Linked DNA regions of Tribolium castaneum. The protein of the gene in region 2 purifies or fractionates together with the protein of the main gene of each other region. This does not show direct contact. Links are inferred from orthologs where the notes say so. Each region holds a gene or a part of one and is shown on either strand. Other genes may lie near its edges.

What was found.
Region 1: the proteins of succinate dehydrogenase [ubiquinone] flavoprotein subunit, mitochondrial (region 2) and succinate dehydrogenase assembly factor 2-A, mitochondrial purify together in Homo sapiens (co-immunoprecipitation; 3 studies listed by BioGRID and IntAct, counting the BioPlex papers as one, with this or other methods). This does not show direct contact. The link is inferred for Tribolium castaneum from reciprocal best matches to the Homo sapiens genes SDHA and SDHAF2.
Region 3: the proteins of succinate dehydrogenase [ubiquinone] flavoprotein subunit, mitochondrial (region 2) and ScsbetaG fractionate together in Homo sapiens (co-fractionation; 3 studies listed by BioGRID, with this or other methods). This does not show direct contact. The link is inferred for Tribolium castaneum from reciprocal best matches to the Homo sapiens genes SDHA and SUCLG2.

What each region holds. Positions count from the first base shown.
Region 1 is NC_087397.1:3,194,786-3,197,588, reverse strand, and holds succinate dehydrogenase assembly factor 2-A, mitochondrial, read left to right. Parts: upstream 1-1,394; 5' UTR 1,395-1,535; intron 1,536-1,586; 5' UTR 1,587-1,610; coding exon 1,611-1,649; intron 1,650-1,708; coding exon 1,709-1,839; intron 1,840-1,885; coding exon 1,886-1,999; intron 2,000-2,049; coding exon 2,050-2,206; 3' UTR 2,207-2,267; downstream 2,268-2,803. Other genes in the region: Bcat (branched-chain-amino-acid aminotransferase, cytosolic), read right to left, coding at 7-147, 833-856.
Region 2 is NC_087399.1:7,962,097-7,965,854, forward strand, and holds the start of succinate dehydrogenase [ubiquinone] flavoprotein subunit, mitochondrial, read right to left. Parts: upstream 2,712-3,758; 5' UTR 2,581-2,711; coding exon 2,518-2,580; intron 2,378-2,517; coding exon 2,122-2,377; intron 2,011-2,121; coding exon 1,589-2,010; intron 1-1,588. Other genes in the region: enoyl-CoA hydratase domain-containing protein 3, mitochondrial, read right to left, coding at 2,794-3,163, 3,209-3,399, 3,443-3,578, 3,630-3,733. UniProt on the Homo sapiens protein: Flavoprotein (FP) subunit of succinate dehydrogenase (SDH) that is involved in complex II of the mitochondrial electron transport chain and is responsible for transferring electrons from succinate to ubiquinone (coenzyme Q).
Region 3 is NC_087403.1:5,255,789-5,259,377, reverse strand, and holds ScsbetaG (succinate--CoA ligase [GDP-forming] subunit beta, mitochondrial), read right to left. Parts: upstream 2,304-3,589; 5' UTR 2,094-2,303; coding exon 2,037-2,093; intron 1,984-2,036; coding exon 1,860-1,983; intron 1,809-1,859; coding exon 1,709-1,808; intron 1,663-1,708; coding exon 699-1,662; 3' UTR 564-698; downstream 1-563. Other genes in the region: pyrethroid hydrolase Ces2a, read right to left, coding at 2,958-3,097, 3,143-3,357, 3,405-3,589. UniProt on the Homo sapiens protein: GTP-specific succinyl-CoA synthetase functions in the citric acid cycle (TCA), coupling the hydrolysis of succinyl-CoA to the synthesis of GTP and thus represents the only step of substrate-level phosphorylation in the TCA.

The DNA.
Region 1 (2,803 bases), on a different chromosome or scaffold from region 2:
TCTTACTCGAAAGGTGTACTCGGAGTCGTTATACTGCTCGTAGGTTTTGAGTTCGTCGAGTCCTAGGACTTCCTTTACTTTCAGACTGCACGCTCTGGCGGCTTGCTTGAGCTTGTGTTGGTGCTGGAGGACCCACTTGCAGGCGCACTGGAAAAAATACATTTTGAATTGCTCTGGAACAATGAATTGATTCACGGCCGATGTTTGTTTCTATTCAATTAAAAATTGCAGCTTTAACCTTGTTTTAACCAAAATTAATAATTTATGACTCGGTAAACAAAGTAGTCGAAATGAATCTCTCCTTATTTCTATTGTGATTTTTATGCATTTCGAAGGTGTGAATTCGACGTTGTTTCCTGCTGAAGTTATTGTTTCAATTTTCCTAATCAAAATTCAGTCGTCTTTTTAATATTTATTCGGCCGACGATTCTATTACCGATTTTGGAGATTCGCAAATTTCCTACACGTGGAGCAGCACTTTTTGAGCATTTTTATTAGTGCTGGAGCAACAAACATGTTGTGAACATAGCGCAATAACAAGATGTTTTTGTCTTGCATTCTAAGACAAAACAATTCGGTTGCGTCAGTTTTTATAAAAAATATCTAAATGGATCAAAAAATTTCTAGCAAAAATCGCTTCTAGAAGTGTGTTGAAATTCAACAATTGCAACATTGTTGTTTGGCAAATTTTGAGTTGAAAGTTTATCACCAAAAACTAGCTTTGTCCAGTTTCTCACTTCAAGACGTATTGATAAGAAGAAAAACCAATATTTTCCTATTGTTAAAGACTCAGAAGTAAACTGTTCGGAAACAAACAAAAAAGAAAAAATACCTGTTTGCTTGTAATGACTGACATCTTCTTCCTTAAGAATCACAACAAAACACGAACGAACACTCACTTGGAGATATTTGTAATAATAATACGTTGGGAATACTGCTCGCGTTAAATCGAAATATTGTTAGTTTGAAGTTTGTCGCTCAACTGGTGTATTGTAAGCTTGAACGCATGAATATTAAATACATAAATTAATACTTATCGCCGGCTATTTTATAAACGGGAGTAAATTTAGGAGAAAAGAATTAACGTCTTATCTTTCGCAATATAATAATAGAGCTACAGATGACGCAAGAAGAATCTCGAACAAGAACTCTCGTAAAAATAAAAACATTGATGGTGAACCATTGAAGTCAATCATTATTGTCGTGTCGAAATATGATAATGAAAGATCATGACCTTAACAAAACTTTTATGTTATCGGTGTTATTATTAGGCATTCTTTCCTTCTGGGCGATTTAAACCAGTATCAAAAACTGATGAGACTCAACTAATTAGGAGTTATCCAGATTCTACGTCGTCTAATCCAAAAGAAAATCTAGCTTTTGAGCAAATTAAATAAAAATAAGAGTGTACACAACTAGTTACATCTATCAAAATTAAAAATATTCAACCCATTCAGTCGATTGAATAAAAATTTAAATTCTGAATTCGCGCCAAAGTTACGTCATTCATTTAACTTTGACAGATGACATAACCGGTGAGAAGTTTTTGCTTTTTTTTTGCCCAAATTAATCAAAATCTTTGATAGGTTACTCTTTTTAAGCTCCCTGTCATGAATTCCTTTAAACTGGTTAACAATTATTGCTTCTTGGTAAGCATTAGAAGTCCTTACTGTGACATGTGTGACATAACCACAAATTTCGTTTCCAGAGGCCCACATTTCGACTTTTTTTTGCAAATCGAAATGCCACCACAGTAATTGACCCTCCAGACAGCCCCGATATTAAGATCCCCACACCTAAAGTTCGTGACAATGAGCCTCTGGAACAGAGGCGGGCCAGGTGGCTGTTTTACCTTTTAGTGTCATTATTTTATGTTAAATTTTAGGCTTTTGTATCAGTCTCGTAAAAGAGGGATGCTCGAAAATGATCTCTTATTAAGTACTTTTGTAGCTAAATATTTGAACACTTTTACTGAAAGCCAGTTGGAGCAGTATGACAAGTAAAGACAAGCCTTAAAGAAAAAACAATAGGACTAAAATGAATTTTTAGGCTTATAAATGGTCCTTCAAACGATTGGGATATTTATTATTGGGCCACTGAGATAAAGGAGACTCCAAAGGAGTATCAACATGAGATTATGACGCTGTTGAAGGAACATTGCAAGAATTTGAATAGGGAGTCAAGGATTAGACAACCTGATCTCTAAATGTGTATTATTTGTTTTTTGTTGTAACGTTGTGTAAATAAATAAATAAATTAATAAATTATACGAGTGTTTTTCTGAAATGATGCATCTTTCCCTTCTTTTGCAAAATTTATTTTGACGGCTGCAGTTACCATTTTTTAGTTTACATAATTAAAGAAAATACGATTTCCAAAAAAAAGGTATTCTTGAGACGTAAATAACTCGTACCGTTACTAAATTCAAATTTGGTGGCTTCTTGTACTCTATTATGTAATGGTTCGGTGTATATTTGGTTGCCTATAATAAAAGAAGTTCAAAATCTTATGCAATTTTATGGGATCATAAAATACAATACGTCTTACTACTTTGGTGTAAAATTTAGTTAATTGACGGTTAATTGTTTTCAATTTTTTGCAAAACTGTCCCAAAAGCCATATTGTTTGTCTTGCGATTAGTGGAAGCTGTTCCGGCAATTATGTAATTACGCCTTAATGGAATTACGCATCTGAACTCATGTCTTTGAATTAATTACACTAATTAGAATTTTTACGCCCAGTGGAATGCAACAATGAATTGCTTTAATCACTGATTGAATTATTAATTTTGCTCAATGTGGGT
Region 2 (3,758 bases):
CTATTTTTTTTTAAATTCTTTTCTTTCCTTTAGGTATCTAGTTTTTAGTTTTTTATTTCTTTTTCAATTTTCCTTTTATTTGTTCAATAAGGGTATTTTTATGGGGAGACAAAGTTTTACCAAAGGCCATAGCAGCTTTTCAACATTTTTTTTATTTATTTATTTTTTTTCTATAGTCCATATTGAAAGAGTAAATGGGCAGCTACGAAGAATTAATGCAATAAGATGTCATTTGTAGCGTCTTTAAGTCCACATTTAAACCCTTTCCTCTACATATCAATTCAATTAAAAGATAATCGATTATTTTAAAATTAATTACATTATAACAATTATTTTGGAAAATCATCGTCTGACGAAGTTAAATGATGTGTTAAAATTTTGAATTAAAATCCGTCATTTTTGAAGTTATATTCATGAAAACTGGTATCTAGGCTATCGGCAAGAAATGGAGATTTTTTTTTAATTCCACCCTCAAGAGGGGAGGCACTAAATAAGGGTTAAAAATCTGTATTTTTTTACAATTATCCAAGGGTGACTTATAATAGTACAACCCTGACGAACTTGAAACGCAACCAATTATACAATTATCGTTAATACCTAGATCAAATCGATTTAATCAGTTTTAGCTTTGGACATCACTATAATATTTCCGATTGTCAGAAAATTATTAATTATTTTTCAAACTTTATTACCTATGAATTGTTAAAATAGTGCTTTTCATATTACATGTCGCACCTACTTAGTGGTAAAACAAGAAAAAACAATTCAAAATCCATCTAATGCATATTAGTAAAAACTGAGTCTAGTGACAGCACCATTTTTAGAAAATTTTGACTCATCACTAAATAGTAGATTATTTAAAAAATTAGATTTCAATCTATTCTTCTCCAAAACTGGATTCTTGTCGTATAGTCCCTTTCTTTTAATTCTTGAACCAAACTTATGGTATGGAATGACGGCTATAGTTTATGTTTAGAATGGAACAACAATGCATTATTGTGTAAATGACGACAAAAATAATTTTATAAACATTATTTAACAAACAATAAAAAACTATAACAAATTAAAATAATTTTTCAATTTATTTTAACTTGTTTCTAAACTTTTATTCCATATCGATAACACGGACGGGTGTACGAACTATAGAACACAACAAAAAAAAATAACTTCTTTAATCGATTTCGTAACGAATAAAGTATTGTTAGTTGCATTTAACCGACGCAGGCAGCGTAAAGTTACGTGAAACACCGTGTACACATCTTGATTTTTCAAAGATACATACTGTAATTGACGTTCAAAAATAAATTATTTATCTTGTCACAATTCGATAACGTCAAGGATGTCCAAATTACGTATTGGAAAAATATAATTTATTAGATGTTAGATCTAGTTATTTATGAGAATTGTATATTGGGTTGCATTTAGGGTTCGTCAGGGTCGTATTCTTATACGATTATGGTATTTAGGTGTTCGGTTAAAGATGAATCTGGGCCTTTTTGGATATTCCACCCATAAAAGGGTGTAAGAAAAAATCCGTCATTTTTGAAGCTAATTAAGCTAAAACTCCAAAATTTTTAAGCGGACTTACGGTGTTTTTGGCCCGGATCCGGTGAATTGTGCCGTCTTCAAGACACAAAGCAATGACTCCTCGGCATTCCCCGTCCTCCATAATCAAATCCAACGCAAAATATTCGATAAAATAATTGCAATCGTAGCGCAATGACTGTCCATAGAGCGTATGAAGCAGGCTGTGCCCGGTTCTATCAGCCACGCAACAACATCTATGGGCCTGCCCCCCTTTCCCAAACTTAAGACTCTGCCCCCCAAAAGCCCTCTGATAGATTTTCCCCTCGGAAGTGCGCGAGAACGGCATTCCGTAATTTTCGAGTTCGATGACCGCCTTGGGGGCTTCCCGCGTCATGTAGTGAATGGCGTCCTGGTCCCCCAACCAATCGGAGCCCTTGACCGTGTCGTACATGTGCCACTGCCAGTTGTCCTCCTCCATATTACCTGTCACATGGTCGCGAAATAATAGCAGAAAATTCCCCCAGATAACTTATCACTTGTTGCTCTTTGAGCCCCAGACGGGTCAAGGCCGGGGCAATGGGAATCTCCACTTACCTAGCGCCGCGTTGATGCCCCCTTGGGCCGCCACCGTGTGGCTCCTGGTGGGGAACAGTTTGGTCACCACCGCGGTCTTGAAGCCCTCGGCCACGAGCCCGAACGCCGCCCGCAAGCCGGCGCCCCCGGCCCCCACGACCACAGCGTCGTACGTGTGGTCCACAATGGGGTACACCTTCGAGACGGCGTCACTGCTAACCTTGGCATTTTTCTTGTCGACGCCGATGTGCAACCCTTGCGCCAGAACCTTCGGGTTCTGGAACAATTAGGTTAGAATTAATTATTTTTAAAGGTTAGAAACCGTCGATGGTGACTCGATTTAATCCAGAAAAACTCAAAACATTTCCACCAACTGTATTATGTAACACGTGATTATTTGGCCAAAAAAACGCCTACCTTTGCGACATTCGTCAAAATATGTTTCGGAAAAATCGTTTGTATCTTTAAAAGGCCACTCATTTTAATCACTTTCTAAACTAATTAGAAATTTTTGAAATGACCATTAAACCCCGGCACCTTTCGCTAAACTGGACAAAAAAACAAATGACAATCGGCGAAAAATGTACGGCTTGACCAATCACGTGCCGTTTCGCCGAGCTGTCACGTTCAAATTAAGGCGCGAATTGAAACCAAATCGTTCAAAACAACTTTATTTGACCCAAACAACCAACACTAATGCGTCCATTGGGGCTTCCGTTTCTCGATGAAGCTGCGGATGCCCTCTTGCCCATCCTCAATTTGCAAATTCTCGACCATTTTGCGCCCCCCCATTTCGTAGGCTTTTTTCACCTCGGCATTGACCTGTTCGTAATAAAACCGTTTCCCCAGTTCAATCACCGACCGGCTTTTGCCCATAATAGCCCCACAAACGGCAGCAATCTCCCCATCAAGGTCGCTGCAAACTTTGGTGATTAAGCCCCTCATTTCGGCTTCGTGACTCGAAATTGGTTGTCCGGTCAGAAGCATTTTCAGGGCGGTGGTTTTGGGGACAGTCCGGGCCAGGGCTATGCCCGGGGTTGAGCAAAAAATGCCAAAATTAGCGCTGAAAAATGGTATTATTTCGAGTTGGTTGGTTTAGGGGAAGTACCCAGGTGTTGAAAAGGTGCTTTTTTCGGTACAAAAGGCCAAATCGCACTGGGCGACGAGTTGGCAACCGGCGGCCGCAGCGAGACCATCGACTCGGGCTATCACAGGAACGGGGCAATCGATGATTTTGGTCATTAGAGTTGCAGCAAGAGAGAAAACTTTGTTTTGTTGGGCTTTGCCATGCTCTGGAGACTAAATTTGGGGTCATTTAACGCAATTAAATTGTGAATACTACCAGTTCTTTTAAGTTGTGTCCGGCTGAGAAAATGGGGCCTTCGGCACCTATTATTATCACTCTGGTGCTCTTATCAGCTGATGTTTCACTGATGTTGTTGATTAGGTGGTCCATCATTGAAATTGACAAGGAATTTCTGTTCAAAATACCGTTTTTACCTATTTTTTGTTAAATGTAACGAAAGTACCGTGTTTTTTGGTCGCACATCACTATTTTCGCAATTCCATTTTGCACATTCATGTGTGTGGGGGCCCCAGATGAATAAAAACATTTCTGGACAATAAGCCTGGTCTAAAACCGGCAAAAATTCAGTGGA
Region 3 (3,589 bases), on a different chromosome or scaffold from region 2:
AAAAATAATATCTAAAGCACCAGAAATAAAATTCAAGGTAAGTATTGAAAGTACCAAAATAATTCAACATTTTAAAACACTAAAAAAAAGATCTAAGCTTACTTTTTCAAATGCCCAAATACGATTTTAAAAAATGATTGCGATTTGTCCAAGGAACAAGGGTGCTGTATTTTTTTTAATGACTTAAACTAGGATATAAGATGAAGGAATACTGAAAATTGTTTTAAAAAACTTGATTAATCGAAAAAGCAATAAAAAAACAGTACCGTAAAATTTTCTCACAAAAGTACATAACTTTTATCAAGCAAACTTCAAATTTTATAGTTATATTCACATTACCTTACCTGACTGCCTTAAATACAGAGGTGGGCAAAAGTATGGAACGAGTTTTTTCAAAAATAAATTTTCGAAATTCTTTTTAGTAAGTATTAGTACTTTTAGTATTTTAGAGCATAATCTTTTATCAAAAAAATTATCGTAATAGGGTGCCATTTGAAGAAAAAAAATTTTGAATACTTTAAAACTATTATCTGGGATATAATGGTGTAATGAAAAACGAATAGTATATGAGAAATTTTTATTAACCGAAAATACAATATCAAAACGAAGTAATGAAAACATTGGTCATTTGAACAGTTTTTTGTGCTGTTGACTAATGAGCAATATCAACAAATTAACACTTTATCAACAAAAACACGTTAGGCATTCTGCACCGCTTTTTTGGCGGCATCGTCGAGATTTTCAGCTGTTTGGATATTCATGCCTGAATCCTTGATAATTCTCCGGGCCTCCGCCGCATTCGTGCCTTCCAGTCTGACAATCAAAGGCACTTCAAGCTTCATCGCCTTCATTGCACCCACGATTCCATTGGCAATCGTCGCGCAATTCACGATCCCGCCGAAAACGTTGACCAAAATACATTTAACGTTCTTATCAGACGTGAGAATATTGAACGCGGCTTTGACCTGCTCCTCGCGGACGCTGCCCCCGACGTCGAGGAAGTTGGCGGGGTCGCCCCCATGCAGCTTGATGATGTCCATGGTGGCCATGGCCAAACCGGCGCCGTTGACCAAACAGCCGATGTTTCCTGTCATCCCGATGTAGTTCAGGTTGTATTTCGCCGCTTCGACCTCGCGGGGGTCGCTCTCGGTGACGTCCTCCAACGCGAAGATGTCCTTTTGGCGGAACTGCGCGTTGTCGTCGAAATTGATTTTCGCATCCACTGCGATCACTTTATTGTTGTCCGTTTCGACCAAAGGGTTGATTTCGAGCTGAGTGGCATCGACGGCGAGGAAGAACTGCCACAGTTTTTTCAGCTCGGCTGCGGCCAAACCCTTGAGGGGCCCCTTGAACTCCAGGAACTCGGCCACCTCATTGGCCATACTATCGGTCACCCCCTTGTGAATATCAATGGGGATGTTTTTGATCAAATGGGGCGTCTTCTCAGCCACGGCTTCGATGTCCACGCCGCCTGCGGGGGACGCAATTAAGACAGGCCCGTTCTTCTGCCTGTCCATTAAAATGCAAACGTAGGTCTCCCTCTGAATGTTCACACTTTCGGCAATCATGATTTTTTTCACCTCGATGCCGTCCTTGGGCGTCTGCTTCGTGATAAGCCTGTGGCCGAGCATTTTTTTGACGATATCGTCGACTTCATTGCGTCTGAAACAAACGCTCAATTTTGACAAAACCACAAAAAAAATTTTACTTCTCAGTGACATGAACCCCGCCTTTAAAACCATTGGTAAAGTGGCCTTTGCCGCGACCACCCGCCAGAATTTGTGCCTTTATTACGTATTCTTTCACATCTGCAAAAAATTAAACAGTGACATAACCCCAACTTTTATTAACACTTTTACTAAATTTATCGAACTCGGAGCATCCCTTATCATCAACCATGCAAAAGTCTTGCACAGCCACCCCATTTTTGCGCAAAAGGTGCTTGCTTTGGTACTCCAACAGGTTCAAATAACGCACCGGAACCTGAAAATGATTGAGGTTATGTCATGTTTTTTGCGAATTTGTAAAAAAGTTACGGAGAATTGTTTTATCTGAGTCGGGACTTTTAAAAGAGAGTTCCAGAGGGAAGACATTGTTTGGTTTTCGCAATAAAGGCACTGCACACTTATCACTGGTATTTATCTAATTGGGGAACAGCACGAATGCACAAAGTCCAAATGTCTGAATGTTTTATCTGAAATAATTGTCCATAAAAAAAGACGGAGCGAGAAATTGCTCAGTGACGCAACTTTCGGCCAATTTGTGGGATAATTAAGCAAAACACACTCCTTAAGTTATTTTATATTGATCTAGGTTAGGTTTTTCCCATAACTCTAGGAAAAAAGCATTGATTTTGATTTTTGGTAAAGGGAAGGTAATAAAAACGATTTTTCGATTTTCTTACGCAAAAAACTGTATTTTTTATACACATATTTATACTTTTTCCACCTGTGCTAATTAGGTTTCTAGGTTAAGAATGCGGGATTTTATTTTAAAACAAACTAAACGGGACAGATAAATATCTATTAGTTTTTATTTTTAGTACACATTTAATATTTTTAATAACTATTTACAAAAATAGGCGTTTTGATTTAAATAAGGGGCTGTGCTCGCCATTGGTGGAATCTATATGTCATTGTACATAAATGGCCAATAACAAACTAGATAAGTATGTACAGTGAAGGTCACAAGATAATTATTTTTGGACACTATTTTTACAAAGGTGATGACAAAAACAATAAAATTGTTGTAACGACACATCTACAGTCGAAATATATTTATAAATGCGTTTGTTAAGCACCGATATGTACATATTTTCCCGTCTACCTGATTCCGCTGACATTTATAAATAGAATTAAAAAAACTTAATAGTCCTGTCTTGTCGCCCAAAAACGTATCACAAGTGATGAGACATCTAAATATATTTAGTTAATTGAAAACTGGTTTGCAACTTATTTTTAATATCCCATATGAAGATGATTTTCCCGCTCCCTCGATCGCTTTTTCAATAAAACAATGCAAATTAGGAGCAAAGCGAGCAGGGCGATCACAAGAGCCACCAAAGTGTACATTGCATGCCGGAAACCTGCAGCCGGGTCTAGAACTTACCAAATAAAATGCAACTTTGTGAATTAGTTATTACCTGGACTATTTTGTAGCTCCCGCGGGATGTTATTCGATAAATTATTCTTAATATTGGCCATTTTTGGCACGAGCTGGTTCCAGAACAAAACCCTCTGGACGCGTTTTTTATTTTCTTCATTTATGTGGGAATTAACCGGCCCAAAATTTTCGATATAATAGTCCCCCGAGGTGTATTTTCGCCACGATCTGACCTGATTGTTTAGTGTCGGCTCCCTGAAATTTTTTCCTAGACTTTGGACTATTCATGTTGGGGGAAATACCCAAACATTATAAAGTTGGTCCATAACTGTTTGATTTGTCGACTCAAATTCATTTCGTTGGCGTTGAACCGCCGCCTGGCCACTTGCTTCAGCAAAATCGGTCCAAATACCAAGAGAAGGTCTGTGGTAATGGTCGAATCGGTTGTATTGAGAACAAACCCAACATCATCCATAAAATAAACATA